Callithrix jacchus: one gene and its partners. The protein of the gene in region 7 interacts with the protein of the main gene of each other region in a pairwise test. Links are inferred from orthologs where the notes say so. Each region holds a gene or a part of one and is shown on either strand. Other genes may lie near its edges.

The links.
Region 1: the proteins of U2AF2 (region 7) and SCAF11 interact in binary tests that used the Homo sapiens proteins (3 or more experiments, as listed by UniProt). The link is inferred for Callithrix jacchus from reciprocal best matches to the Homo sapiens genes U2AF2 and SCAF11.
Region 2: the proteins of U2AF2 (region 7) and PRPF3 interact in binary tests that used the Homo sapiens proteins (3 or more experiments, as listed by UniProt). The link is inferred for Callithrix jacchus from reciprocal best matches to the Homo sapiens genes U2AF2 and PRPF3.
Region 3: the proteins of U2AF2 (region 7) and KHDC4 interact in binary tests that used the Homo sapiens proteins (3 or more experiments, as listed by UniProt). The two-hybrid records come from large-scale screens. The link is inferred for Callithrix jacchus from reciprocal best matches to the Homo sapiens genes U2AF2 and KHDC4.
Region 4: the proteins of U2AF2 (region 7) and TLE5 interact in binary tests that used the Homo sapiens proteins (3 or more experiments, as listed by UniProt). The two-hybrid records come from large-scale screens. The link is inferred for Callithrix jacchus from reciprocal best matches to the Homo sapiens genes U2AF2 and TLE5.
Region 5: the proteins of U2AF2 (region 7) and SNRPA interact in binary tests that used the Homo sapiens proteins (3 or more experiments, as listed by UniProt). The link is inferred for Callithrix jacchus from reciprocal best matches to the Homo sapiens genes U2AF2 and SNRPA.
Region 6: the proteins of U2AF2 (region 7) and THAP1 interact in binary tests that used the Homo sapiens proteins (3 or more experiments, as listed by UniProt). The two-hybrid records come from large-scale screens. The link is inferred for Callithrix jacchus from reciprocal best matches to the Homo sapiens genes U2AF2 and THAP1.

The regions. Positions count from the first base shown.
Region 1 is NC_133510.1:29,354,754-29,359,111, forward strand, and holds the start of SCAF11 (protein SCAF11), read left to right. Parts: upstream 1-1,450; 5' UTR 1,451-1,680; intron 1,681-4,358. UniProt on the Homo sapiens protein: Plays a role in pre-mRNA alternative splicing by regulating spliceosome assembly.
Region 2 is NC_133519.1:10,249,911-10,253,702, forward strand, and holds part of PRPF3 (U4/U6 small nuclear ribonucleoprotein Prp3), read left to right. Parts: intron 1-1,300; 5' UTR 1,301-1,348; coding exon 1,349-1,493; intron 1,494-2,318; coding exon 2,319-2,449; intron 2,450-3,792. UniProt on the Homo sapiens protein: Plays a role in pre-mRNA splicing as component of the U4/U6-U5 tri-snRNP complex that is involved in spliceosome assembly, and as component of the precatalytic spliceosome (spliceosome B complex).
Region 3 is NC_133519.1:16,302,187-16,306,617, reverse strand, and holds the start of KHDC4 (KH homology domain-containing protein 4), read left to right. Parts: upstream 1-1,620; 5' UTR 1,621-2,357; coding exon 2,358-2,422; intron 2,423-2,463; exon of another isoform or gene 2,464-2,503; coding exon of another isoform or gene 2,504-2,541; intron 2,542-3,022; coding exon 3,023-3,239; intron 3,240-4,431.
Region 4 is NC_133523.1:2,836,439-2,840,757, reverse strand, and holds the start of TLE5 (TLE family member 5), read left to right. Parts: upstream 1-1,474; coding exon 1,475-1,501; exon of another isoform or gene 1,502-1,502; intron 1,503-2,343; coding exon 2,344-2,441; intron 2,442-4,319. Other genes in the region: uncharacterized protein LOC128930549, read right to left, coding at 661-1,476. UniProt on the Homo sapiens protein: Transcriptional corepressor. Acts as a dominant repressor towards other family members. Inhibits NF-kappa-B-regulated gene expression. May be required for the initiation and maintenance of the differentiated state.
Region 5 is NC_133523.1:36,292,317-36,296,555, forward strand, and holds the start of SNRPA (U1 small nuclear ribonucleoprotein A), read left to right. Parts: upstream 1-1,337; 5' UTR 1,338-1,452; intron 1,453-1,617; exon of another isoform or gene 1,618-1,688; intron 1,689-1,948; exon of another isoform or gene 1,949-2,146; 5' UTR 2,147-2,168; coding exon 2,169-2,241; intron 2,242-4,239. Other genes in the region: ACTMAP (actin maturation protease), read right to left, coding at 255-577. UniProt on the Homo sapiens protein: Component of the spliceosomal U1 snRNP, which is essential for recognition of the pre-mRNA 5' splice-site and the subsequent assembly of the spliceosome. U1 snRNP is the first snRNP to interact with pre-mRNA.
Region 6 is NC_133514.1:44,607,618-44,612,079, forward strand, and holds the start of THAP1 (THAP domain-containing protein 1), read right to left. Parts: upstream 3,069-4,462; 5' UTR 2,800-3,068; coding exon 2,729-2,799; intron 1-2,728. UniProt on the Homo sapiens protein: DNA-binding transcription regulator that regulates endothelial cell proliferation and G1/S cell-cycle progression.
Region 7 is NC_133523.1:48,521,589-48,525,380, forward strand, and holds part of U2AF2 (splicing factor U2AF 65 kDa subunit), read left to right. Parts: intron 1-2,578; coding exon 2,579-2,714; intron 2,715-3,545; coding exon 3,546-3,590; intron 3,591-3,792. UniProt on the Homo sapiens protein: Plays a role in pre-mRNA splicing and 3'-end processing. By recruiting PRPF19 and the PRP19C/Prp19 complex/NTC/Nineteen complex to the RNA polymerase II C-terminal domain (CTD), and thereby pre-mRNA, may couple transcription to splicing.

The DNA of each region.
Region 1 (4,358 bases), on a different chromosome or scaffold from region 7:
CAGGGCAGGAGGAGGGGATGCGGCATCTGCGCGGATGCGGCAGAGAAGCGGCCTAAGCGCTGGACCGGTGGACCGGTGGACTGGTAGACCGCGGAAAAGTGAGGAGAAAGCATCCCAGGCAGGGGTCGGCGTGGCTGGGAGAGCGCAGCGCGCACACAGTTAGAACGGGGGCAGAACCACAGGAAAAGGTGTGAGCGCGCGGGTGAAAGCGACTGGGACCTGGGTGAGCCGCGCGCAGGGAGCAGAGCTTAGTCCCGCGGGAGCCGCAAGCAGGACAATGGCGTGGGCAGGAGGACTGGAAGGACTGCTGGTAGAAGATGAGGGACATTGAGGGCAGGCAGGGCAACCAGGAGCTTGCTGCAGTCGACGAGAAGAGAAACTAGGAGATTTAAGAGTTAGTGACTTTGAAAAAAACCAAAATACTTCTGAGGTAAAACAAAACATTTAACAACCCACCCGGAAGGAGTGGAGGATGGCATACGGGTCACTAACCACAAAGCAGAGGTCTTTGAAGTAAATCATAATCAAGTTTTTGTTGTTTGAGACAGGGTCTCACTTTGTCGCCCAGGCTGGAGTGCAGTGGCGCGATTTCAGCTGACTGCAACCTCCGCAGCCCACCTCAGCCTCTAGAAGAGCTGGAACCACAGGCGCGCGCCTCCACGGCCGGCTAATTTTATTTTTTGTAGAAGGGACTACATTGCTCAAGCGACTTGCCAGCCTCGGTCTCCAAAGTGCTGTTATTACAGGCGAGAGCCACCGCGCACCTGGCCCAAATTAATTTTGCGATGTGGGATTAAGACGTGGTAAAGGCCCTAAGCTCGGCGAGTTAGCCAGGAAAGCTATCCCCTCAAGCATCTAAAAAAATGCCCAGGAGAAAGGAAGAAAGGTGCCGACTCTTCACCCCGCGGGCTGTATTTCTGATGGGCAACGCCGCCAGGTGAACACTCAATCCACTACAAACATACGGACACTTTTCAACATTAGATTACCATCAAGATAGAAGAGCACAACCCACGCAAAATCCTTCCTGTCCAGTTCCCTTAAAGCCTCTTTCATTGTCCACAGCGACGCAGCCCGTAAAGCCACCAAAGGAGCTCTGAGGCAAAAAGTCCACGCGCGGCGCATGCGCACCCCCCGCGGCGTAGGCGAAGGGCGGGAGGGAAGGACGTTTCCCAGAAGGCCCCTCCATCGCTGCTGCCCTTCCTCCCGCTCTCAGCCCTCGTGACGTGACTCCACCCACCACACTCCTCGGTCGCAAACAGCAGTTTGCCAGCGCCCCCCTGCGGTCTGGCTGGGTGCTGCGGACGTGCACGCAGGGCCAGATGAGCGAGTAGGAAGAGTGTTGCGAGTACGACCGCCGCCGTCGTCACCGCAGCGCGCCGACTGGGAGCGGAGCCGAGCGAGCGAAGGGAGGAGGAGGGAGACGCGCGGGGAGGGGAGGGCGGAGGCTAGACAAGGCGGGGTGAGCGGGAGCAGCGGTGGCGCAAGCCGCGCGGAGCAGCGCAACCTGGGTCGCTGCGGCCTCCGGACCGGGCCAGCGGAGTCAGTGTCCCAGAGACCCTGTAACCCTTCAAAGTGGACGAAGGAGTCCATGTTGGGGAACTTGGCGGCGGATTGACGGGGACCTGTAAACCTACTGTGGGGCAGCCGCCGGACCGAGCACCTCGAGTTCGGCCTGAGGTAAACACGGGCCGACCCGCGGGGTGGATGGGCTTGGGCAGCTGTCCGGGCGAGGCCGGGGTTAGAGGCCGGCGCAGAGCGCTGGAGCGGGCCTGGGGCGACGCGAGGACTGACAAAAGTTTCGGAATCTCGCGCGGCCCGGGCGGCGTAGTGCGCTGGGAGGAAAGTTAGAGCTGCCTCCCTAGGTGGGGGAGGCTGCGGCCGGGAGGGCCCCTTTCCCTCTGGCTGCCCCGCGAGGGAGGCCCGGCTCTGGGCCGCCGCCGCCGCCTCCGCCTCCTCTCTGTCGCACTCCGTCCCATTTCCTCCTTGTGGCCTACGCGCCTCCTGCCGCCTTAGCTGGCGATGCCTGTCCCCGCCCGGGTGCAGGGTCCTGCGGGGGAAGAAGGGGCTCCACGCCAGAACCGCCGCAGAAACCCTCCTCCCTGCCGTAAACGTGTCCTGCTAAGCTTCCGGGCACTCCCGACCCTGGTATCGGCTTTTCTTGGGAGACTTTGGTCGCGAGCGTCCAAGCCCGCTTGTGAAACCAAACTTTACTACGTTGTGACCTCTCAAATGCACGAATGGGGAAGAACCGGCGCTTTTCACTGGGTGCTCTGAACTACAAACTACTCTCCAACCCCCAATGTTTTAAACTCGCTGCCTGGGCTGACAACTACCGGGCTGGGAAATCTAAATTTAGCCGAATCCGTCGCCCCTCCTCAGACTTAGGAATTTTGAGTCATTAAAAAGATTTCTTACAGATGTAACATGTATTTTGAAAAATTGTTTCAAAGTAGAGGCCCAGTTTAGAGTACTTGATTTAGACATTCACAGATTCAAATGTTGAGTTTCGAAATACCCTCATTATATTTCCGTAGGGTATTACATAAGTGCCTACCAGTTGAGTGTTTTTCATTCATTTTGGATTACATTTTGGCCAACACACTACCAGTGAATTAAGATACGTAGCTAAAATGCTGAAAAATGTTTTTAATGCTTTGTGTAGTAGATGCTGATGTTACATTTTCTCCGATTTGGGAATTTCCCCCGAATTTTGGGAAATGATTGTTAATAGGTGCATTATTTTTTCATTTTAAAAGAAAAATGAATTTATACATATGACTACCTACCTCAGCAGCAGAATATCAGGGCAGTACATTTTAAAATAACGATTGGTTTTTGCATTTTATTATTGTATTAAAATTTTGATTTTAATCTCATAATCGAGACTGTTTCTAAACAATTGCTTTCTCTTTCCTGTTTCTTTGGCATTTGGCTTGAGCATCTCACTATTTTGGTTAAAAGATGGAAGAAAAAGTTTATGGGCCTTTTGTTTTTGTTGTTTCATCTGACTGGGCAAGAGAAATTAAATCTTTAAACTGTCTTTGTGTTGCTTTTGTTTTATATCCTGTCGGATAATCTGACTTTATATTTTTATGCAATGTGAGTTTTTAAGAAATAGTAGTTCTCAGGGTAGCTGCGTTTTAGCCATAATATTTTTTTGGTGCTTGCAAATATTTTAACAGTCATTCACTTTTTCACATTCAAATAGTGAACTTTTTGCCTGAGAGTTTGTGTACATTTTAAAATTTCATTGGGGTAAAATTTGAATGTTTGTTTACTGTAAGTATACTTGTGGTTTAAACACATTTTTCAATATAAAGGGGAAGAAAACTAGAAGAAAATGTAAAGTTTCTAAATATGTTGCCTAAAAAAATGTCATGGAGAAAATTTTAAGGAGAATTTTAAGGAGAACAACAGCCTTCCCCCCATCCCCTCAATATTTCCTATCTATTTGTACACCAGATTTTTCTCCATAGCCTTTATCATTTTGCAACATACCGCATAATCTACTAACTCTGTTTATTGTGTATTTTCTTCACTCTAATGTATCTTCTGTGAGATCAGCATTTGTCAGTTTTGGTCACTGTTATGCCCCTGAACACCTGAACAATGCCTTACATGTAAGTTAATGAATTAACTTGCTTTCAAGTATAAACATTACAAATAATGATTGTGGTTTGAAACTTAACGGACTAAGCAAGTCTCAGTCTGTGGCATGAAGTACCAGGTTACTTATATCCATGCACATGGGCCATGTTCATTTGAGGGGTCTGTGTTTTTTTGTTGTTTTGTTTTTGCTTTCAGATAGCATCTCACTCTGTCTCCCAGGCTAGAGTGCAGTGGTGTGATTACAGCTCTCACTATACTGCTCAGGCTGTTCTCAAACTCCTGGGCTTAAGTAATCCTCCCACCTTGGCCTCTCAAAGTGCTGGGATTACAGGAATAAACCAACACACCCAGCCTAAGGGCTCTATGTTTTTAGAGGAGTATGACGGTATGTGACCTTGAAACTATCATTTGTCTCAATATAGAAGGAACTAAGAATGCCTTAGCTAAGAATAGAGCAGTGTGTTAGTCCATTTTCAAGCTGCTGATATACCTGAGACTGGGAAGAAAAAGAAGTTTAATTGATACAGTTCCACATGGCTGGAGAGGCCTCAGAATCATGGTGGGAAGAGAAAGGCAGTTCTTGCATGGTAGTGGCAAGAGAAAATGAGGAATATGCAAAACTAGAAACCCCTATTAAAACCATCAGATCTTGTGAGACTTATTCACTACCATGAAAACAGTATGGGAGAACCACCCCCATGATTCAAATTATCTCCCACCGGGTTGCTCCCACAACATGTGGGAAT
Region 2 (3,792 bases), on a different chromosome or scaffold from region 7:
GGAAGCTTATGTAAGTCAACGAATGCCTGCCTGGAAGTACGGAGAATGGAAAAGCTGGCCCCTGAATGGGCTTTTTTAGTTTTGTTTTAGTGTTGCTATATTTGCAAGTCCTTGTTGATATGACAGGATAAAGCTAAGTCTCATTTCTCAGGCTTAGCTTATTCACAGAGTTTATTTATTCCACAGTTTTCATTGGTCAACTTAAGAGTTAAAGAGTTAAAAATCAAATGGGGCGGGGCACGGTGGCTCACACCTGTAATTCCAGCACTTTGGAAGGCCAAGGCAGGTGGATTACAAGATCAAGAGATTGAGACCATCCTGACCAACATGGTGAAACCCCATCTCTACTAAAAACACAAAAATTAGCATGGCGTGGTGGCATGCACCTGTAGTCCCAGCTACTTGGGAGGCTGAGGCAGAAGAATCACTTGAACCCGGGAGGCAGAGGTTGTAGTGAGCCAGGATTGCCCCACTGCACTCTAGCCTGGTGACAGAGCGAAACTGTCTCAAAAAGAAAAAAAAAAAATAGAATCTCTTTCTGTTTTGAGATATGGTTCTTGGGGAAAATATTTGCCTTCAAATGAGTTGGCAGAACTTGTCTAGGATTGAGAATAGAGGTGGAGAATGCATTCCTCATATATTAACATTTCCCTGGATCCACTTTAATTTTTTTTTTTTTTGAGATGGAGTTTCGTTCTTGTTGCCCAAGCTGGAGTGCAAGGGCATGATCTCGACTCACTGCAACCTCCACCTCGCTGGTTCAAGCAATTCCCCTGCCTTAGCCTCCTGAGTAGCTGAGATTACAGGGGTTCATCACCACGCACAACTCATTTTTACTTTTTTTTTTTTTTTGAGACGGATTCTCACTCTGTCTCCCAGGCTGGAGTGCAGTGTTGTAATCTTGGCTCACTACAACCTCTGCCTCCTGGGTTTAAGCATTTCTCCTGCCTCAGCCTCCTGAGTAGCTGCAATTACAGGCACATGCCACTATGCCCAGCTAATTTTTGTATTTTTAGTAGAGATGGTTTCACAGTATTGGTCAGGCTGGTCTTGAACTCCTAACCTTGTGATCCACCTGCCTTGACCTCCCAGTGTGCTGGTATTACAGGCATGAGCCACCACACTCGGCCTCATTTTTATTATTTTTAGTGGATACGAGGTTTCACCATGTTGGTCAGGCTGTTCTCGAGCTCCTGACCTTAAATGACCCACCTCGGCCTCCCAGAGTGCTGGGATTGCCACCACACCTGGCCTACTGTAGTCTTTTCTTATTATCTAACTTGTCTCTTTTTTTTTTCAGGTGTAGTATTGAGTCCTGTTTGAGCTATTGTACTCTTTTTCCTCAAAAATGGCATTGTCTAAGAGGGAGCTGGATGAGCTGAAACCATGGATAGAGAAGACAGTGAAGAGGGTGCTGGGTTTCTCAGAGCCTACAGTGGTCACAGCAGCATTGAACTGTGTGGGGAAGGGCATGGACAAGAAAAAGGCGGCTGGTATGTACCTTTCTGCAGCTTTTGTCTTAACTTACAGGGTGATCCCAAACACTGCTTTGAACTTCCCCAAAATTCTCTCTGTTGGGAACGTCTAAAAAAAGGGCAGGCCACATTTTATTTTCATTTGTATTTTACTGCAAGTAGCCTAAATAATAATTTTGCTTTTTCTCTTATTGCTTATTTTTTATGTTATTTGTGATATATTTTAAATCTTCCTTTGGCTACCATACTGAGTCACCCAAGTTAGATTTACTTAGGAAGTATGCTAAAGTCAGATAGGCATGTTCAGTTATTCAGATTGACATCTCAACATATAAAAGTCTTTATGAAATACGTGAAAAAGCTTGAAGGAGGCAGATTTTGTTAATGGTAGTCTCCTACAGCTTGCTATTTGGGAAAGGTTAGGGTGGTTATTCATCTCTTTTTTTTTTTTAATATATATATTTTATATGTTTTTTAAGATGGGGTTTCACCATGATGGACAGGCTGGTCTTGAACTCCTGACCTCAGGTGATCCACCCACCTCAGCCTCCCAAGGTGCTAGGATTACAGGCGTGAGCCACCACGCCTGGCGATTATTCATCTTAAACTTGATGTTCAACCTAAATAGGTTATTCTGACTGACTTCCCACTCTAAAAAATTATAAGTATTTTCACCTCAAAGGGCAAGGTCATTCACTGTAAGAGAGATGGGAATCCTGCAAAGAACTTAAAATTTGTTTCACTCCTAGGAGTGAAATTCCAGTGTTGGTACCTGTTCTAGGCCTAGTATTAGTGTATATACTCTTATCTTTCCAATCCTACCACCGCCTTTTTTCCTGTCAGATCATCTGAAACCTTTTCTTGATGATTCTACTCTGCGATTTGTGGACAAACTGTTTGAGGCTGTGGAGGAAGGCCGAAGCTCTAGGCATTCCAAGTCTAGCAGTGACAGGAGCAGAAAACGAGAGCTAAAGGTAGGTTACAATTTACTATCTAATGAGCTCAGGACTGTTTTGAATGGTAACAGAGTTGCTGAGCTTGCCAGTTCACACTTTGATGTCCACGATTTAGAGCACCAAATGTTCAAGAGAGGTACTTAGACGTTAAAGTAGAAGAGGTGAATTGTGTCATCATCATATTATGATAATGAACTACCCAAGTTCATGGGTTGAAATATCCAAAGAAATAATTGGTAGCTTTGTCTTTTTTTAGATAACAGGAGTTTTGGTTTTAATCTTTCTCCATATTTCCTTTTTTTTTTTTCCCCTTCTTACTACTACCTATAAACTAATTGTTCTAAGATTTTATGTTTGATTTGAGGCCTATAAGTTGTTTTAGAATGTGACTCCACTGGTACCTGAGCTGTAGACCTCACTGATGTCTCTTTGTAGAGGTTTCTCTGCAATGCACTTGTAGATAGGATACCAAAAAGTAACTATTATTTATTATATTCTTGAGAGCTTACCATTTGCTACACGGCATATTGCTGGTCACCTGGTGCCATGAGTGAAACACTTGAAAGAGTTGTCAGTGCCTCCTTAACTACTACACTTCTTATTCTATATTTGCTGACTAATCCTGGCCTCTTTCAATATTAGCAGTGTCAAGTAGCCTATCTTTCTACTCATTTCCCAGTATCTCTCTTTATTAAAAAAAATTCTGCGACTCCTATGAAATCTTCCAAAGTTCTTTTGATACCTTGGCTATCCCATTGCTTTTGAATAAGCAATGTCTGATTGGTCCCCTGGGCAGTCTATGGAACAAGAAAAACCAGAGAGATGTGTGCCTTTTGTGTTTAGAGTATTGTAGGGTGATCAGAGAAGGAGAGAGAGTCCTGCATTAAAATAATTTGTAATTTGCCAGGCACTGTGGCATGTGCCTGTAATCCCAGCTACTTGGGAAGCTGAGGCAAGAGGATCTCTTAAGCCCAGGAGCTGTAATTTGATAGAGCAGAGATACCACAAAATATAGTATATAGACCCGTATTATAAAATCTGAGTAGCAGTTTTATGTAAATTTTAGGGTTGGCTATAGAATTTCAGACTTAATTTGAATTTTGTTATATTTAAGGGGGAATGATTGATCCATAGTATACACAGATATATACAGTGATGATTATGTCACAATAGGGCATACTTTCTTTTTCTTTTTGAGATGAAGTCTTGCTCTGTCACCCAGGCTGGAGTGCAGCGGCGTAATCTCGACTCACTGCAACCTCCACCACCCAGCTTTAAGCAATTCTCCTGCCTCAACCTCCTAAATAGCTGGGATTACAGGCACGTGCCACCATGCTTGGCTAATTTTTATATCTTTAGTA
Region 3 (4,431 bases), on a different chromosome or scaffold from region 7:
CCCTGTCTCTATTAAAATACAAAAAATTAGCTGGGCGTGGTGGTAGGCACCTGTAATCCCAGCTACTCAGGAGGCTGAGGCAGGAGAATCATTTGAACTCAGGAGGCGGAGGTTGCAATGAGACAAGATCATGCCATTTGCAACAAGGGCAAAACTTCGTCTCAAAAAAAAAAAAAATTGAATTGATGAGCAAATGATGAATAAAACTAAAAGCTAGGTTATTTTAAAAGGCAAAAAAAAAAAAAAAAATAAGACACTGGCAAGACTAAGGAAAGTAAAAAGAAAAGAAAAAAAGGTTTTTTAAAAATTGAAAATACCAAGTGTTGGAGATGATGTGGAGTAATAGGAACCGTGGTACATTGCTGGTGGGCATGTAAAACAGTGCAGCCAGTTGCTTTGACAGTTCCACAAAAGTTAAACAAGATGTCCATATGACATAGCAATTCTGCACTTACGTATAAACCCTAAAGAATTCAAAATAGGTACTTAAATACTTGTGAATGTTCGCAGCAGCGCTATTTACAATAACCAAGAGGTGGTAACAACCCAAATGTTCATCAATGGATGAATGGATAAATTGTGGTCTATACATCCAATGGAAAATAAATTTGGTGATAAAAAAGAATGAAGTTTATTCAGTGATAAAAAAAGAATGAAGTTCTGACATACACTACAACATGGATAAACTTTTTTTTTTTTGAGACGGTGTTTCGCTCTTGTTACCCAGGCTGGAGTGCAATGGCGCAATCTCGGCTCACCGCCATTACAGGGGTGAGCTACCGCACCCGGCCAGAACTCTTAAAACATTGTGAGGGCCGGGCTCCGGGCGCGGTGGCTCATGCCTGTAATCCCAGCACTTTGGGAGGCCGAGGCGGGTGGATCACGAGGTCAAGAGGTCATCCTGGTCAACATGGTGAAACCCCGTCTCTACTAAAAATACAGAAAATTAGCTGGGCATGGTGGCGTGTGCCTTTAATCCCAGCTACTCAGCAGGCTGAGGCAGGAGAATTGCCTGAAACCAGGAGGCGGAGGTTGCGGTGAGCCGAGATCGCGCCGTTGCACTCGAGCCTGGTAACAAGAGCGAAACTCCATCTCAAAAAAAAAAAAATTTTAAGTGAAAGAAGCCAGACACAAAAGGCCACACATTGTATAATTCCATTTACATAAAATGTGTAGAATAGGTAAATTCAGAGAAAGAGTAGATTAGTGGCAGTCCCTGTCTTGCTGGGAGAGATAAATGGGAAGTGATTGTTAATAGGTGAGGGGTTTCTTTTTGGGGTGATGAAAATAATCTGGAATTACATAATGGTGATTGTGACACAATCTTGTGGACACACCAAAAAACACTGAATTATGCACTTATATTTTCTCTTTTTAGGCTGGGCGCGGTGGCTCACATCTGTAATCCCAGCACTTTGGGAGGCCGAGGCAGGTGAATCACGAGGTCAGGAGTTCAAGACCAGCCTGGCCAACATGGTGAAACCCAGTCTCTACTAAAAATACAAAAAATTAGCTGGCGGTGGTGAGCGCCTGGAATCCCAGCTACTGAGAAGGCTGAGGGATGAGAATCACTTGAACCCGGGAAGTAGGGGTTCCAGTGAGCCAAGATCGTGTCACTGCACTCCACCATGGGCGACAGTGCGAGACTCCGTCTCGGGGTGGGGGGGAGGAAGGAAAAAAAAAAGAAACTTTTAGCTTACAGAATCAGCTCAACAAATTCCTCAGCATAGCCCTCAGGGCCTTTCATTTTCTGGCCTCCCGCACTCCAGCCATCTCAACCGTTAAGTACACAGATCCCGGAAAAGGGTGCTCCATAACCGACGCTTGATCACCTCTCCAGCACTCAACCGGCTTTTTAGCGTCCCGTTCTTAGACGCTCCAGCAAGATGAGCAGCTTATCTTCTTCGACCTTTGCTTAACATACAATTCTATCATACCTATTTGCCTGCGCGCCTGCCCTGCCACACAGTACCAGAATGTCAAGGCCTGTGGCTTGTTCATCTTCATATACCCTGCTTGGTGCACAGAAATGAAGCAAACAGATAAATTCTTCAAATGATCTTTTCAACGAATTTAAGTAACAGAAACGTGAAACGGACAAAAGCTACGGAAGGCTGTCTCCCCAGACAGAAACTGGGACTCAACACAAACGTAGCGGAATTTGAGGAGAAACCTGTTTAATCTCCTGACTCATGCGTATTGTCTTCCAGTCTAACAACATGCCCACAATAAAGATGGATTCTGCTAGCCCCGATTCCGCCTTTATAGTACGCATAGCAGCCATCTTTCTTAAGGGTAAGGAGCAACCCGGAAGATCACACCCTACCTTTTTCAGAAATGCAGGACGCCTTTAAATCATGGAGAGTCCAATCGGAATCGACATTTTCACCGGAACCGCTCGGCTTCACGACCGGAAGAGGCTGTGCGTAAGAGCGTTGGGGGCGGAAGTGACGGGAAAGTGGTAGTTGGGTAGTTGGCGGGTGGTTGAGTAGAGCCGGTCGCCATGTCCGCGGGGAGCGCGACACATCCTGGAGCTGGCGGGTAAGGCTTCAGGGGCGAAGGCATCGGAGCGAGTACTGTGGCACGGGAGAGATGGAAGGACCCTGAGAAGCTGAGTTTGGGGTGGAGGGGCCCTTAAGTGGGAAGTGGGGGCTTGGGCGTTCGGGGAGAAGGATCTTGAGCAGGCCTGGGGCCCTTAAAGGGCCGGCGGGGATCTGAGGGAGGAGGGAAGCGGGGATTTTTGGAAGGGCGAGCCAAGGGGAAGGAAACGAGAGTGCACAGGGCAGAGTGGAGTCGTTGGATAAAGATGACAGTAGAAAGGAAAGATTTGGGGGAAGCGTTTGAAAGAAGTGGTTAAAATAGCAATAATCGTTTAAGAAGAGGGGAGTTGTAGATTTGGAAGGTGATTCGGAAGTGGATATGAAATATAATAGAGGGAAAATGGGGTGCTAAGGCATAGTAAGGAAAGAATAACATACATGAAAGCTTTGGGGCCTAATGTTTTTTCTTTTTCTACATATAGGCGCCGCAGCAAATGGGACCAACCAGCTCCAGCCCCACTTCTCTTCCTCCCCGCAGCGGCCCCAGGTGGGGAGGTCACCAGCAGTGGTGGAAGTCCTGGGGGCACCACAGCTGCTCCTTCAGGAGCCTTGGATGCTGCTGCCGCTGTGGCTGCCAAGATCAATGCCATGCTCATGGCAAAAGGGAAGCTGAAACCAACTCAGAATGCTTCTGAGAAGGTATTTGAAATTGATGGGTCTCCACTAATTGTGAATTACTAGTTGTTTCGTAATCCTGTGATCTCATAATCATTTGCGTTAGTTAAAAATGGATATAGTCGTTTAGAGATCATTTAGTTTTGGAATATTCCAGATGACATTTTGTCACAAATACATATTTACGAGGCATTTTTGATTGGGCTGATTACATTTATGGACCAAATACCTTGTCTTGTCCTTGTTCACTTAGTTCACCTTGAGTTATATTTCCATAGTCATTTAAAGCAACATAACATGTTTTTAACGTGTGCTTTTTCCCTGAAGTCAAAAGAGAAGTTTAGGTAAATCAAGTGAGCTTCAAAGTGTCATCTCTAATTAAAACCTGAAGTGGGTTTTTTGTTTGTTTTTTGTGTTTTTTTTGAGACAGAATCTCATCTGTCACCCAGGCTGGAGTGCAGTGGTACGATCTCGGCTTACTACAACCTCTGTCTCCCGGGTTCAAGTGACTCTCCTGCCGCAGCTTCCCAAGTAGCTGGGATTACAGGCACATGCCACCATGCCTGGCTAATTTTTTTTTTTTTGTATTTTTAGTAGAGACAGGTTTTGCCATGTTTGCCAGACTCCTTTCAACCTCCAAAGTGCTGGGATTACAGGTGCAAGCCACCATGCCCAGACTTGTTTGCAAAGACTGTGTGAGTCAGTTGTCCATTTCTAAGGTTTATGGGGAAAAATTAAAGCATCTTGACAGGCCTGGCACGGTAGTTCACACCTGTAATCCCATCACTTTGGGAGGCTGAGGCGGGAGATCATCTGAGGTCAGGAGTTTGAGACCAGCCTGGCCAACATGGTGAAACCCCATATCTAATAAAAATACAAAAAGTAGCTGGGCATGGTGGCACATGCCTGTAATTCCAGCTACTTGGGAGGCAGAGGCTGAGGCAAGAGAATCGCTTGAACCAGGAGGCAGAGGTTGCAGTGAGCAGAGATGATGCCATTGCACTCCAGCTCGGGTGACAAGAGTGAAACTCTGCCTCAAAAAAAAAAAGGCATTTTGTCAAAGATGGAATGCTCCTTGCTCTTTGTATATTAAGATTCTTAATACTGATGTCAATCATTTAAGGATTTTTTTTTCTTTAGAATAATACTTTTTTTTTTTAACATAGAGATGGCATTTCACCATGTTGGCCAGGCTGGTCTCAAACTCCTGACCTCA
Region 4 (4,319 bases), about 46 Mb from region 7:
GGCAGAGGCTGCAGTGAGCCAAGATCGTGCCACTGCACTCCAGCCTGAGTGACAGAGCAAGACTCCATCTCAAAAAAAAAAAAAAAAAAAAAAAAAAAAAAACCACCAGGTCCTGTCCCTCTTCCTTCCACAGCCCTCCAGGGCTCCCACCTCACTCAGAGCAAGAGCCCTGTACTCCCCGAGGCCCACAAGCCCTTTTGGAACTGGCCTGTGTCACCAGCTACAGAGTTGCAGGGCACAGTACAAAAGAAAACTGAAAGGCCCCTTGTTCGAAAATGATTCGGAATTTCAAAACGCAGCAGTAAAGATTCACCCAGGCAGAAGCCCTGCTGGGGGCAGGGGGCCTGGGCAACAGCATGAAGCCCCAGGCCCAGGCCCTGCCTCCATCCCGGGCATCCTGGTGCCAGGCACAGTCCTGCCCCAGGGCCTTTGCACCTGCTCGTCCTGCCTCTGACTGGCACTGCCCCCATCCCCTGTTCTCGCTCCTTGGGGTCCGTTTGTGGAGGAGGAAGCCCTCTCTGACCCTCCCTGCCCTCTGTTCAACCTTGCACCTTCCTACCCCGCCATTGTCCCAGCCGATTTTCCCCGCAGAGGCGTCCCCACCATCTGACCTGCTGGGAATTCAGCTCCTGAATTTATCTCTGTCTGTCTCCAGGCACCTCACCAGGGCAGGGGCCTTGTACCCCCCCCACCCACCCCAGGGCCCTGGAGCAGCCGGGCCTGGCACACAGGCCCTCCATAAAGGTGTCCAAAGAATGGCTTCCCTGAGGAAGGCGGCATGACCGCTGCCTTTCTGCAGAAGAGGAAACTGAGGCCCGGCGAGAACCACCGCCCAGCCAGAGCCAAGGTCACAGAATACGTCCCTGGCACGCGTCCAGGTCGTGCCACCGCAGGGCCGGCGGCTTCGACCTGGGCAGCCGGGTCCCTTTCTCTGACAGATGGGGAAACCGAGGCCAGGCCGGCCGCCAGGCTGGGGCGGGTGGCGGGGGCCGCGGCCCGGGGCGGGGGCGCGCCGGGCCCAAGGTCACCGCGGCGGGCGGGCCCCGGGGAGGCGGGCCGGGGTGGGGATCCGCAGGCCTCCCCGGGCGCGCGCGTCCCCCCCCTCGGCGGCGCGCACGGGGCACGGGCGGCGGCGGCAGGTGGAGCCGGAGCCTCCGCAGCAGCCGAGCCGCGGCCACCGCCGGCGTCGCCGCCATTAGACAATAGCGGTGGGGCCGGGGAGCGGGGAGGCGGGCGGCGGGGAGGGGCGGGGAGGGGCGCCGGGCGCGCAGGAAGCGGGGCCCGGGGCGCGCCGGGGCCGGGCGCGCGGGGAGGGGGCGCAGGAAGCGGGCGAGGCCGGGCGCGGGAGGCGGCGGCGGCGGCCCCGGGAGCTGCCGATCCGCGCCGGGACAAAGGCGCGGCCGCCCGGCGCCCCGAGCAGCCCGAGCCGGGGCGCACAGCCGGGGCGCAGCCCGCGCCCCCCGCCGCGACTGACATGATGTTTCCACAAAGCAGGCATTCGGTAAGCGGGGCCCGCCCGCCCGGCGCCCCCTCCCCGCGCCCCCGCCCCGCGCCCCCCCAGCTCCCGGGCCCTGGCTTCCCTCTCGGGCTCCGAGCCCCGCGCGACCCCCGTCCTGCCGCCGACCCCCGGACACCCCCTCAGTTCCCGATTCTCCCCCAGCTTCCGGGCCCCGAACCCCCCCCCAGCTCCCGGCTTGGCGCCCCCCCCCCCGCCCGCCGGGACAGGCAGGGCCTCGGACGGCCTTGGCCTCGGGCCTGGGGATCTCCGGGAGCCCCGCCAGGCACCTCCAGCGCGGGGCTCCTTTGGGGGCCTGTGGTGGGGGGGACAATCCGAGGCGTCCCCCCTCCCGGAAGAGAGCGCGTCCCCGAGGAAGGGCGCTGGGATTCTGGGGTGGGCTCCCCCCCGGAAGATTTAGGGCGCCGAGAGAGACCCCCTTCCCCAAGGGGACTTTGCAGGGGGGACTCGCTGCCCCTCAACTTGGGGAGGGGGCTCCCTAGGGCGCGTTTCCACCCCCCTCGGAGGCACCCACTCCCGGCGCTTTGGAGGGGCGGTAGAGGGCGTACCCTGCCCCCCACCTAGGGCGGGCCTTAAAACGCACCCCCCACTGCCTGGGGGTGGCGGGGGACGGGGCGGCTCCGGGCGCACCCACCCCCTCAGCTTCCCCCGGGGAGAGGCGGGGGCAGGAAGCGCGGGTGGGGGCCTTGCCAGGGGCGGTAAACACGGGCCCAGGAAGTGGGGCAGGAGGGGGGGCGCCGCAGCTGCGCGGCCGCTCCCTCCTGGCCCGCCCTTGAGGGGGGCCTGGCCCACGCCTGGGCCTGACCGGGGCGCCCCCCTCCCCACAGGGCTCCTCGCACCTACCCCAGCAACTCAAATTCACCACCTCGGACTCCTGCGACCGCATCAAAGACGAGTTTCAGCTCCTGCAAGCTCAGTACCACAGGTGAGGGGCGGGTCGGGGTCCCTGCGCCCGAGAGGGTGAGCCCCCTTGTTCTGCACGGACGGCAGATTGGGAAAATAACGTGTGCTAGGCTCCGACCGAATCGCTTGACAAATACTGAATTCCTTTCTTTAAACAGCCCCAGTTTGTAGAGGAGGAAACCGAGGCACAAAAAAGTTAAATAATTTGCCCAAAGACCCACCTGTGTGACTTCAGAGTCCCTCCCTCCTCCCCAGTCTCCCCCAAGCCCCCCCCCACCCCCCGCTGGATAAAAGACCTTGCGCCAACCAGCTTAGAGCCTGGACTCACCATCCCCCCAACCCCAAAACACATTTTGTAACCTGGTTATGTCTGTCTTTGGCCAGTTTTGGAGAAAGGGTTCCCAGCGCCCATCACGTTCTCCAAGGTGCTTCTCCTTTCAGAAATCTGACCTTTCTGAAGAGTTTGCCATGTAGCTGGTCTAAGGCGAGGGAACTATTGAGTCCTCTTAAAGAAATGTAAGCCCAGGCCGGGCGGTGGCTCACCCTTATAATCCCAGCACTTTGGGAGGCCGAGGCGGGTGGATCACGAGGTCAAGAGATCGAGCCCATCCTGGTCAACAAGGTGAAACCCCGTCTCTACTAAAAATACAAAATTAGCTGGGCACAGTGGTGCGTGCCTGTAATCCCAGCTACTCGGGAGGCTGAGGCAGGAGAATTGATTGAACCCAGGAGGCGGAGGTTGCGGTGAGCCGAGATCGCGCCATTGCACTCCAGCCTGGGTAACAAGAGTGAGAATCCGTCTCAGAAAAAAAAAAAAAGAAAACAAAAGAAAGAAGCTTAAGCCCAGAGAGGTCAGGGATTTCCTCAGGGTTAGTATCCACAGCACTGAGGAAGGGGCAAGGCTGAGGTGGGCACCAGGTCTCTCTCCTGGTGTAAGGATGCAGATTCCCACGTGCCCTGCTCTGGAGGGGCGCAGCAGACCTGGGAGTCTGGAGGAAGTCAGGCCACGCTGAGGCCCACGTTTCAGCCTGGGGGCCCTCTCCTGACTGCAGTTTGCCCATCCTGGAGGGACCCTGGACTTCCTCCAAGTAGAAAGGGGAATCTCGATTTTGAAACTATCCAAACTTTCGGGGTACTCCCTGTGTGCTAAAGACCATATGTGCTTCCTCGTGAGGTCCGGCTGTCGTGCCCATTCTCAAGATGGGCACACTGAGACCCCGACAGTCAAAAGCACTGGAACCAGCTTTCCAGGAAGGCCCCAGAAACTTCTATTTGGGTCCCTGGAAGCATAGGGTTTGAGACTGCCTGGTGGGCCCTGGGGCTGACCTGATTCCACAGGGAAGAGATCAGATGGCCTTCGCAGTGCTGTGTGACCTCCAGTAAGCCAGACGCCCTCTCTGAGCTTTGGAGTCTCCATCTGCTGGGCCTGGGCTTTCTGCTATCCAGAAAGCCCTGCCATATCAGGCACACACTGGATGTTCAAGGCATAACAGCCCCTGGGTGGCCGGATCAAGTCTCACGCTGTCGCCCAGGCGGGAGTGCAGAGGGGCAATCTCGGCTCACTCCAACCTCCGCCTCCTGGGTCAAGTGATCTCCTGTCTCGGCCTCCCAAGTAGCTGGGATTACAGGCACGCGCCACCACTCTCCTAATTTTTGTATTTTTAGTAGAGACAGGCTTTCGCCATGTTGGCCAGGCTGGTCTTGAACTCCCGATCTCAGGTGATCCACCCGCTCGGCCTCCCAAAGTGCTGGGATTACAGGCGTGAGCCACTTTGCCCAGCCCTGATTTTTTTTTTTTAATGTTAGCAACAAATGCACTTTTTTTTTTTTTGAGACGGAGTTTCACCCTTGTTACCCAGGCTGGAGTGCAATGGCGCGATCTCGGCTCACCGCAACCTCC
Region 5 (4,239 bases), about 12 Mb from region 7:
TCCCAAAGTAGCTGGGATTACAGGCCTGAGCCACCACGCCCGGTTCTGGACGGGGCACTTGTGAGGACAGCTTCTTCACTGCTGGAGGCACACCACCACGCAAGGGGTCTACGTGGGGGTCCTAAATAGTCAGGCTGTTTGATCTTGAGGACACGAGAACCCCCCAAGAGGAGACAAGAGGAGGCGGCTGAAGTGATCTGCGGAGAAGCAACTGGGGCAGAGCCTGGGCGGTGGGTGGGGTATGGAGACCCTACCGGTCCTTGTGCAGCTTCAGGAGCCTCTTCACATCTTCTCTGCCCTTGGGGACCGGGCCAGCCTTCTCCAAGGCCTCCTTCAGGAGCTGGCTCTTCTCCAGGCCGAAGACATGAGGGCGAGCAGGCCCCGAGGCAGCGGGTGGAGGAGGCAGTGGGGGCGGTGGGGGAACAGGAGTTTGCTGACTCCAGGGACGGGATGAAAAAGCTAAAAAGTCCAGGGCACTTGGGGGTAGAGGAGGAGGTGGAATGCTGCTGGCTTGGGGTACAGGGGTTCTTGGAGGAGGGATTGGTGATTTTAGGGGAGGAGAGCTTGGTGAAGTCATTTTGGGGTCTCCAGGAGGTGCTGAGGGGTTCAGAAGGTGGGGAGGGAGGGATCGTCCAAGAGGACGGCCTCAGGGACGGAAATTTTAAAAGTTTAAGAGCTGAATTCCAGAATCTGGGGGCAGAGCAGTGGGTGTGAAAGGACCAGGGCTAACATTTGAAACAGTGGGAGCAGGAATTGCGAGGCTGACCTCAGCCTTAAGGCACCTGACGGCTAACACGGCGGGGACGGGTTGTTACCTCGGGAGGCTTAGGTGGACAGTTAGTAGGAGTTAACTCCTTCTCTGGGGCCGAATGTGGAAACTCATGGGTAAGTCTGGGATATGAAGGCTCAGACATAGAGTGAGGTGCCTGAAGGGTGCGACTTAGGGGCCCGGGGCTAAAGATTCGGAGAACTTAGACTCAGTCCCCTCTCACATCCCAGGCCCGAGTTCGGAACCTTTGAGCTGACCTTTTGAGTCAGAGGCAAGAGGTCAAAAAGGACACCTGGCAGGGAAAGTGGCCTAGTTGTGGAGAAGGTCCTGGAGTCAGAGCAATAAAAAACCTCCGTGGGTTGGAGAAGACTCAGAGATCACAGGCTGGAGGGCGCCGCGATAACCGGTGGAACAGGGAAAGGAGTCAGGAAGTAAAATGAGCCGCCCACTCCCGCAAAATGGCGGCCCCCGCACACAGCCTTTCCCATATTATGTGGTATCACCCTCAATAGTGCCCGCCCATTTGGCGATCACGTGACAGAAAACGCATCTCACGCGGGGAAGAGGCGGGGCTTCAAACAGGCTTGCCTCCGGAAGACACCGCAGTTCGAAACGCGTCCCGATTGGCAAAACAATCGTGACCTTCACTGATTGGTCCGTAGACTCGGGAGCTACGGAAGGAGGTGGGCTTGTCGAAAGTGGGGCGGAGTTTTTCTACCTAAGCGGGAACCCAAATATCGTTTTGATTGGCAAGAACTGAGCCTAGAAACGAGTCTTGCTCTGATTGGGCAAGCTACTGAGTTTCCGCATGGGGATTGGCTGACAGAAAGGTAGAGGCGGGGCCAGGAGAGAAAGCTTTGTGGTTTGGTCTCAGAAAAGTAGCAGGCGCCAGTTGAGAAAACTGCGGCCCCATCGGAAGGTAACCTCGGGCGCAGACTAACATCGGCGGAAGGCGGGCGGTGCGCTTGGCGTCCGGGCCTTCCTGTGCCCGTCTGAGGAAACTTCTGCCTCTCGAGGCCAGGCTGCCCAAGACCCATCCTTTCTTCCTTTACTGGCTCTTACATCCGGGTTTTTTCTCCCGGACTGCCCTTCGGACGCGTCGACCAATGGGAACCGCCATTTAGGGGGCTCCGCCCACTGGGTCGCGTAGAGCATCCTGGAACTCGTAGTAAATCTCTCGAGAGTTCCCTCTGCACGCGGGCTCGAGAAGTGGGTCCTACGCACGCTTTGTTGCCCACGCTGTGCCTCCGTCCTTCCCACTCCCGCCTTACCTGACTTCCTCTCGGAAGGAAGAACCTTGAGCCCCCCGTTAAGCCAACGTTGGGACAAAGGATTTGGAGAAAACCAGGGCTAAAGTCACGTTATTTCTCGTTTAAGCCTTACCTCGACACTTCACTCCATGGCAGTTCCCGAGACCCGCCCTAACCACACTATTTATATCAACAACCTCAATGAGAAGATCAAGAAGGATGGTGAGTTCTCGGGATAGTCCGCACTCCAGGCTGTCCCGCACGGGCTGGTCTCCCTTCCACCCCCTGCACCTGCTTTTCTTTCTCAGTGTTCGTCCAAGCAAACTGTTCCAGTGAACCCTTTGGCCTTTACACAAACGACTTCCTCTGTCTTCAACACTCGTTAGTTCATCTTACACTCTGCCCTTTAACCTGGTCACTGTTGCTCATCTTACAAGGTTTCAGGACACAGGACCCCTCCTCCAGGAAGCCTTCCCTATCCTGCGTCCCTTCACGTGGCTGCCCCTGACTTCCTTCCATCAAGCCCGGATTCCTCTGGGCTGTCGTGGGGCTCTCTCTCCTCCCAGTGGCCTTTGAGCTCCATGAGGGCAACGCCTGGGGCTTCTTGGTCACCGGCGTTTTCAGTGATCAGTGCACAGTGAAAATGTACCGTACTGGGGCTAACGCTCTGTATCATGGGCTGGTCTATGCGCTATTTTTTTTTTTTTTTTTTTTTTTTTTTTTTTTTTTTGAGACGGAGTCTTGCTCTATCCCCAGGCTGGAGTGCAGTGGCGCAATCTCGGCTCACTGCAACATCCGACTCCTGGGTTCAAGCGATTCTCCCACCTCAGCCTTCTGAGTAGCTGGGACCACAGGCACGTGCCACCATGCCCGGCTATTTTTTGTATTTTTAGTAGAGATGGGATTTCACCAAGATGGTCTCGATCTCTTAACCTTGTGATCCGCCCGCCTCGGCCTCCCAAAGTGCTGGGATTACAGGCGTGAGCCACCGCTCCCAATCTTGGTTACATTTAATCCTCAAAACAAGCCTGTAGGAAGAAAGAAGGCTTTTGTTATTCCCATTCCTCAAATAAGCTGAGACTGGGGTGATGTGACTTGGCCTGGGTCACATAGCCACCGGTATCTAACTCCCGTTTTTGGCAGGGCGTGGTGGCTCAGGCCGAAAGGATCACTTAAACACAGGAGTTCAAGATCAGCCTGGGCAACAAAGCGAGATCTTGTCTCTACAAAAAAAAAAAAAAAAAAGCCTGGGCATGGGTGGGTCACGTCTGTGGTCCCAGCTGCTCAGGAGGCTGAGATGGGAGGATCGCTTGAGCTACAGAGGTTGAGGCTGCAGTGAGCTATGATTGCACTGCAGCCTGGGCAGAGCAAGAACCTATGTAAAAAAAGAACTTGATTATTGAAATCGGCAAGACTCTACAGCTTTCTCAAGTAAATTATCACCTTTATTGAACCTCATTTTCTGTGTCTGAAAACTGAACAAAGTCATAATACCTTCTTTGCATCGATGTTGGGGGAAATTAAATTAGCTAAATCTCTAAGTGTTTCTGTTTTATGGTACCTGGCAGCTAGGAAGGGCTGGATAAATGTTAGCTCTTATCACCTCAAGAAAATTGTCGGGAGAAGCGAAGGAGCTTGCTGGGATTCAGTTTGAGGTTACCAGTGAAGTTGCGCTTGAGGAAAGCATAGCCTACAGCCAGGCGCAGTGGCTCACGCCTGTAATCCCAACACACTGGGAGGCAGAGGCGGGTAGATCACTTAAAGCCAGGAGTTCGAGACCAGCCTGGCTAACATGCTGAAACCCTGTCTTTACTAAAAATACAAAAATTAGCCAGGTGTGGCGGTGCATGTCTGTAGCCCCGGCTACTCGGGAGGCTGAGGCAGAAGAATCACTTGAAACCCAGGAAGCGGAGGTTTTTGGGTGTTTTTTTTTTTTTGCAATTTTTTACTTTTTCCCTCCCAGAACACGGGAAGGAAGTAGAGGTCTTAGTGAGCAGAGTTCGCACCACTGTGCTCCAGCCAGGACGGTAGTGTGAGACTGTCTCAAAAAAAAAAAAAAAAAAAAAAAAAAAAAGACAAAATCAGGAATGTAAATATTGCATATGCTTTTAGAGTGTGCTACCCAACCAGTATCAGGCAGTGCTGGGGGCACACTGGTGACATAGAATCCTGGTTTTATTTATTTACTTCGAGATGGAGTTTCGCTCTTATTGCCCAATA
Region 6 (4,462 bases), on a different chromosome or scaffold from region 7:
AAATGTGCCTCTGGCTCATGCCTATAATCCCAGCACTTTGGGAGGCCAAGGTCCAAGGGATTGCTTGAGTTCAAGAGTTTGAGACTACCCTGGGCAATATGGCAAACTCCTGACTCTACAAAAAAAATACAAAAATTAGCTGGGCATGGTGGTTTGTGGCAAGGTACTCAGGAGGCTGAGGTGGGAGGATCACTCGAGTCAGGGAGATCAAGGGGGCAGTGAGCCAAGATTATTTCACTTGAATATAAGTGAATATAAGATATATTTGATATATTTGATAAATATAAGATATATTTGAGCCATACCCTGTCTCAAAAAGAAAAAAATAATCTGTCTTCTTATTTTTTACCAGTAATTTTCTGTGTGCTGCACAGAAAGACAAAGATTGCACATTTGTATCTATGTACTGGGAAAAAGAGGCTTCTATTCTAGTTCTTTTAGCATCAGTCTGACAAATATGAATAGGTTAAATTTGAATTAAATTAAAGGCAGGTAATGATGAGAGAAAAGTATTTTCTAATCAACTGGGATGTCCATCAGGCTCAGGTAAAGGAGGAAAGTGAGAGTTTACATTTATTAGTTTTACTCTTCCAAGTTAAGGATCTGGTAAACTGGGGGGATTAGGAGAAAAAAAAAAACAAAGAGAAGAACATTGTGAATTTATGTTCTACAGTTTCTCTTCCATGTTCAGTATGCTAGAGCTTCACTCTGCTATTAAGAGATCTTTATGAGTCCCTTTTCTTTGTACAACATAGCTCTCTCTACTGCCACTATGTAGAAGCTGGGAGAAGTGTTACCACTAAAATATCTCAGCTGGAAATGGCCTCTATAGGTATAAACTATGGTAGCATTAGCTGGTAAAATTCAGTACGCAGGGCCTCCTGTCTCAAGGACAATAAATTTACAGCTGTTTGTGAGCTTCTCTGTTAAGATCTTTCCCATCTTCTCCCAACACCTGCTCTTTTAGATAAGGGATAAGGTTCAGGTTAGCCCTTCTTTTGATTCAATTCACATCTGTTTTAACATCTAGTAGAAACACAGTGTTTTTTTGTTTGTTTTTGTTTTTTGAGACAGTCTCCCTCTGTCACCCAAGCTGGAGTGCAGCGCGAGATCTCAGCTCACTGCAACCTCCATATCCTGGGTTCAAGTGATTCCCCTGCCTCAGGCGTGCACCACCGCTCCCAGCTAATTTTTGTATTTTTAGTAGAGACAGGGTTTTGCCATGTTGGCCAGGCTGGTCTCGAACTCCTGACCTCAGGTGATCCGCCCACCTTGGCCTCCCAAAGTGCTGGGATTACAGGCGTGAACCACCACGCCTGGCCAAAAACACAGTTACTTCTGACTTGTGAATACCATCCTTAACTAGTTTCCAGTGCTGATGAAACATTTTCCATTTTATGATTCCTTCTGCCACGCCATCAGAAATGTGGGCTGGGGAGCTGTGCATGTAATCCTATTACCATCACCTGACCTATTCCTACATTTTTAAAGTACATGTTTACAGAAATTCCAATTAAATCAAGAGATAATATTGGGACATCCTGAACATGTTCTATCCACTTCGAGGGGGTAACATCATTACTCTGGAGACCTCCCTATATTCTACACACTCTTATTTCTATAGGGTCCATCTCACATGATAGCAAACATTTAAAAAATGCATGGAAACTCCTCTAGTAAACATAGATGGCCCCACACCAAAACATATAAATAAATTTAAAGACTATTTAACATTTTGCTTTTGTAATTACTTACCTAATTATAAAAGATAATTAGCTAATTACCTATGGCTAACTTGTATAGTTTACCCCTGGATCTGATTTCTTAGCTATCATCCGCGTATAGTCATGAGGAAATCTTGCAAAGAAAACTTAACATAAATGTAATTAAAATTCAGATGAATGAAAATATTATGTCACATTTTACAAGCGTTTGATAGTAATTTCAACTTTGCACGTTTTTCCCATTTTCAAGAGAATATTTTTGATCCTAGCACTCTTAACTGCGCTATCTACTGGATAAAACAGCTCTGAAAGCTGTGGTGAGTTTCCTCCGCAAGGGCTTCCTCTATGCACACGTAATGCCATAATAAATAAAGGTCAGTGTGAGCCATTTTATTATGATCCATGTTGTAACTGTCCATATTATCAATATTGTGGGCTGAAAAGAACGATTTATCTTGGCAGTACCTGAAGCTTTCTCCAAAACTTAGGGTCCTTAAAGCTTAGTTCTTAGAGATTGGGGGCAAAAATTCTCCCTGATTTCCCAGGCAAAAAATCAACCCTTAATTGCTACGATGCTGGCTTCCCATCCACCGTAAGGGCGAAAAAGGTAGTAATTTCTTCGTTTAAAGGCCTTTGTTTCTATTTCAAATTCACCCCTAAGACGTTATTCCACCTGGCTGGTCTGTGACCCTGGTGCTGGCAAAATCCGCGCCACCCGGGGCATTGCCCGCGGGCTCCGCAGTCGTCAACCCAGGCCGCGAGCGAAGCCTGCACCCAGGGCCTGCTTCAGGAGCGCAAGAAACGGCCTTCACGGCGACGCGCGCCGAGAACGCGCAGCCGGGCGGCGGTTCCCCACGGGACGCGGCGGGAAACGCCCCGCGCGGCCGGCCCCAGACCCCGCCCGCCCCTCGCGCGGACACGCGCCTGGCTCCGCCCCCGGCCCCGCCGGCCGCGCGCCCCCACCCCGGCTGGGACCGGCCCCACGAGGTGCGCAGGGTCCTCACTTGTGGAAAGAAACGGGCTTATCCTTGTCGTAGCGGTTCTTGCAGCCGTAGGCGGAACAGGACTGCACCATCCTTCCGGTGGTCCTCAGGCACTTCACTTCTGCCGCCGCAGAAGGCAGGGGAAGCTGCTTTCAGTGTCGCCGCGCTCGGTTGGACACCCTCGTTTCTTTTGTAGCTTTGGCCAACAGTTACAGTGATGGTGGCCTCCCTCGGGAGTGACTAGTGTGCCCGTTTTGTTGTTTGCATTAGCAGAAGGACCACAGCCATCGCCCTTCTCCCATCTCCAAGATGGCGGAGGCAGCTTCAACCTCACCTATCGCGAGGGGTGCGTCCCACTGTCTCTGATTACTCTGAGGTCAGAGGTAACCTTTCCTTGGGAAGCTGACTATTGGCTGAGGCCAGGTGTTTCCGGTGGTGGCTTCGGAATTGCGGAAGTGGGCGGAGCCCTGAGCTTCTGGCCGGAAGGAAGGAACTGCTTGGAGGAGGAGGTGCGGCGGGAGGGCGGATTCCAGGGGCCACCTCAAACCCCGGGCTGTTCCGGCGGATTAATTGATCTGGAGCTTTCCTGGGGCGGCTTAGAGTAGGAAACTACTGGGGCCTCTTGGAGAACAGGTGTAAAGCCGAGGTCGTTGTCTGATTCCTCCCATTTGTTTAAAAGGGCAGGCACAGATCGTGTATAATTAATAAAATTGTGGAACCTTTTCCCAGAATGCTGATCTTTATCCCATTGCCTGCCTCTTCAGGTATCACAAAGCTCTGTGAGAGCAATGTGACAGGTTTTTAGGAATGAAGAAAGACACACTCACCAAATAATCTCAGTTGCCAAACGCAGAAGCATTATAATATGTATGTATGTATATGTATGTGTGTATATATATGTATGCGTGTGTACACATATATATATATAATTAAAAAATGGAGACGGTGTCTCCCCACGTTGCCTAGGCCGGTCTAGAACTCAAGCCCAAGGGATCCGGCCTCCTAGTGGCCTGGGATTACTGGAGTGAACCACCAGGCCCTCTCCAGAAGCTTTTATGAAGGGATGTCCATTGCTGTGATTTCCAGGTGCTGCAGCAACTTTTCACATCTGAGAGAGACTATGTCAGAGGGGTTATAAACTGGAGCCACTCTGTGTTGAGTGAGGGCTAGGAAGATGAGGCTGAGACTTGCTAGGCTGCATTCCCAGAAAGTTAGGTATTCCTAGTCTCTAGATGTTTACAGTTAAGGCAACAGATTGATAATATTTACTAAACAGACCCAGACTTCCAAGTGTCCAGATATCCTGATATTTTGAGAACAGAAGCATTCCTAATTTTGCTTTATTGGGCAGGGCGCAGTAGCTCAGGCCTGTAATCCCAGCACTTTGGGAGGCCGAGGTGGGCGGATCACCTGAGGTCAGGAGTTCGAAACCAGCTTGGCTAACATGGTGAAACCCTTCTTTTCTAAAAATGCAACAGTTAGCCAGATGTGGTGGCACATGCCTCAAATCCCAGCTACTCTGGAGGCTAAGGCAGGAGAATCACTTGATCCTGTGGAGGTTGCAGTGAGCCATGTTTATGCCACTGCACCCCAGCCTGGGTGACAGAGTGAGACTGTCTCATAAAGATGATATTGATTCTTACATAATATAGTAATTAATCATTTATCACAAACCCTTGCAACAGAGCACATCTCCCATGATCTTTTTTTTTTTATCCTTTATATAAACAAGTGTATCTTTTACTTTCGGGAACA
Region 7 (3,792 bases):
GCCTGGCTTACACCAGGTGTCCAGTAAGCAATACTTGCAATTGTAAAATTGCATGCCTAGAGAGGAAAGTCTTTCACTCTCATAGAGATGGTTTCAGAGTTGGCCAAGGGCAGGCGAAGGCACTTTCCACATGTTGTTCTGCCACACAACACCTGGGTGGAGTAGATGTGACCCCCCCCCTCGTTTAAAGAAGAAAAAACCAAATCTTAAAGGCTTCAGTTGCTTTTGCATGGTTTTATGTTGTTGGTAAGTAGAAAAACAGGTACTGATTTTGAGCTCTGGCTGGCTGCAAAGCCACGTTCCTCTATGCTGACCACCAAGTCGAGCTGATTGGTCCGTTCTTTGAGGCCCTTAGATGGCACCGTACTGGTTCTCCTGTGGTTTCTCCTCTGATGCTGGGAGGCCAGTGCCTGGACCTGGCGTGGTTCCTGGGTTGGCGGAGCTGCTCCCATAAGATGACCACAATACAATGTTTTCAGCAAACGAAACTCCCTTTCTGTTTTTACCTGTCCAGCATCAGTGTGTGGGAGAGGGTTCTTGCCGTAGGGGAAGCTCTGCCCGCGCACACGTATCATTCTGGCTGTGGGTCTTTGTCTCTTTGGAGGACGGGCCAGCTTCTGTACCTGCCCGCTTCTGCTTCAGCGCCTTCCTCTGCTCGCTGTGTCTACAGGGAATTTCCTTGTCTATGTCCCAGGCACCCAGCCAGGCGTCACTGCTTTCTGTGCGTGTGTTCCTTTCTGCCTGCTGCCTGTTTCAGAGCCTTAGCAGCAGGAAGGGCTCCTGGGGCTCACAGCCTGTCCATCTTTCAAGTGTGGAGCCAGCGCTGTGCCCGCTGCCATGCCTGTGTGCTTACTCCGCTGCTGGCTTGTCCTGCTGATTGTTCCCCCCCGTTTCTGTCTTTGATTTTGGGGTTTTGGGCCTTCAAGCCGACAATTGCATTGTCATTAGTGGTTCTAGCCAGAATGTCCTGCCTGATCCGAATTCAGGAGCATGGCCTCATGCTGAACTTGATGGCTTTACAGAGTTGAAATTCCGGCTTCACCATTTTCTAGCTGTTTGGCCTTGGGCAAGTTGTGGTCTCTCTGTACCTCAGTTTCCTTATCCATTATGTCAGCCCCCAGCAGTGTTTTTCTGAAGCAGTAGTGAGGATTAAGTACAAACAGAACTTTTTTTTTTTTTTTTTTGAGACAGAATTTTACTCTTGTTACCCGGGCTGGAGTGCAGTGGCGCGATCTCGGCTCACCACAACCTCTGCCTCCTGGGTTCAGGCAGTTCTCCTGCCTCAACCTCCCAAGTAGCTGGGATTACAGGCATGCGTCACCATGCCCAGCTAATTTTTTGCAAACAGAACTATTTAATACAGATTTCCGTCGTAAGAAGCATCACATTATTTGTTACTGTTTTTTTCCCCCCGCTGGGTGCATATTTTTCTGAGTGTTGGTGGTTTTGGAATTGTGATGCTTTTCCCAACATTCATCTGGTGTCAGAATAACAAAATGCTGGGTGAGGCTGAAGTTTAACATTCTCCCTCTGTGCCTTTTCCCCCCTCTGGCCCCAGGGATCATCACTCTAGGTGATGCTTGTTAACATGTATGAGCACCTTAACATGTGCATCTTGTGTGTGTGTGTGTTTCATGGATAGTTGAGAAATCTGGGTATCTCTGAATTCAGGGAATTCTAAGTGGTGCTTATGAACACCCCCAGCTCATGGTTTATCCTCCATCTTGAAGGGTTGGTCTTCAGGAGTTGAAGGGTCTGGTGGAAGCAGAGGTTTCTGTGGTTTTGCCAGTGAGGCTCTGTTTCTAGTGGCCACCTTGGAGGAAAATAGGACGTCTGGAGGCTGGCGGAGATACACACCCGTACTCTACAACCTCTCCAGTACTTGGCTTTGAAGGGAGCGAGGCAGGGAGAGTCAGGTGGTTTGGGGTGAAAGTCTGGGTAGGGCAAGCTCCTCCCCTGACCTGCTGAAGCAGAGGAGGGCTCTGTACCCTCCATCTGCAGCTGCTTCAAGGCCCTTCACTCCCCGGGGGAAGCGTGCTTGCTTCTGCATTATTCACCAGGTTGGGAAGGGATGGGTTGAGTTTCCCTGCTTCCTGGGGATATCAAATCCTGCCTGGCACCTGACCTCTAGGCCTGATGATGGGGCTGTGGGTGCCAGCTGGTTGCAGAGGTCTTTCCTGAGGGGTCTCTGCGTCCCTTCAGGAAAACATCATTGGGTCTCTTGATTCCCCAGCCTCTAGCCCTGCCCCTCTCAGGGACGACCCTGGGGTCAGGCCCCTCAGCCCTCGAGGGGGACCAGGAGCCAGCCTCTGTCTTCTCTGGCTCCCCAGCTCCTCCTGAGCATCCTCAGGTATCTTACACCCCGGGGGCATTTCCAGGCCCGTCCCCCTGGTCCCCTCAGGGTCCCTGGACTCGCTTGTGGATCTAGGAGGCCTGTTAATTCCCTTCCTCCATCGAATCCCTTCCCTTTGGGGGGTGGCCTCCCTGGGGCTTGGGACATAGCCACCAGTGCGCAGGGTGGGCTGGGTCCACATCCTTACTCCGCTCATCGCATCCCCTTCCTCTCACCCTTGCCCAGAGCGGGACAAGGAGAATCGGCATAGGAAGCGCAGCCACAGCCGCTCTCGAAGCCGGGACCGCAAACGCCGCAGCCGGAGCAGAGACCGGCGCAACCGGGACCAGCGGAGCGCTTCCCGGGACAGGCGGCGCCGAAGGTACTAGGGCTCAGGGACCCCGGGCTGGGCCAGCCTGGGAGTCGGGTGGGGGGTGGGTGTTGGCCAGCCTGGGGGTGGCCCATTGATTCTGTATCTGGGCCCAGGCCTTCTGTGGCTCATCTTTCTTTGTGTGGATCTGGGGGAGGGATCTACTGCTTGGTCTGTCTTGAATTCCGATTTTTCCCCCGTTTCTGGGGTTTCTTTCATTTCCTCTATTGGGGGTTGCTGGTGGGTTGCTGGGAGCAATAGGTTCTTTCTCTGGGGCCATGGAATTGATTCTGTGTTTTCCTTTGCAAGGGGCTGTTCTCTGTCTCTGACTCTGACTGCCTGTTTCTTCTTGTCAACTCTCTGGGGCTCTCTGTGGGACTCTATTCGAGGGGGTTGGTCTCTGCCTCCAGTTTCTTTCTTCCCTGCCTCCTTGGAGAAGGGAGCTCCTGGGAGTGAGGCAGTGTACACAGCCTGGGCTTCTTTTCTGGCCCAGGGGTGTTGGTTTCCACCGCCTTTTTCTCTCTAGGCTCCCGTCTCTGTTCTCTGCCCCTTAGGTGAGGAAGGGCAGGATAGGCAGAGTTCTCCTGCCTTCTCCCAGCAGTTTCTCCAGCTAGAGACTGGTCCTTCCTGGCCCCTGGCCCCTGTCTCCTTTCCTCACTTCCTCTTTCCTGGGGGTGGGAGTGTTTGGGGGGAAATGGCAGGGCCGAGGGGGGCCTGCTTGCTGCTTGTTCACCTCGGCCCTGCTCCCATCCTGGGGCTCAGTGCCCTTGGGGGGGTGTGGCATGTGGGGAAGACGAGGGTCCCCAGTCACCCCTCCCCATACCTTTCCCTCCCACCCCCCAGCAAACCTTTGACCAGAGGCGCTAAAGAGGAGCACGGTGGATTGATGTGAGCTTCTCTTCCTGCCCCTTCCTCCCTGATGTCCACTCCCTTCACCTTCCTCACGCCCGCCTACCCTGCCCTGTCCGCTTCCAGCCCTGGCCCAAGCACTGGGAAGAGTCCACTTGCCTTGAAACCAGCACCCCTTCCCCAGGCCCTGTCCCGGATCCTCTCCTTCCCTGGAGAGAGTGCAGCTTACATGGTGGGGGGG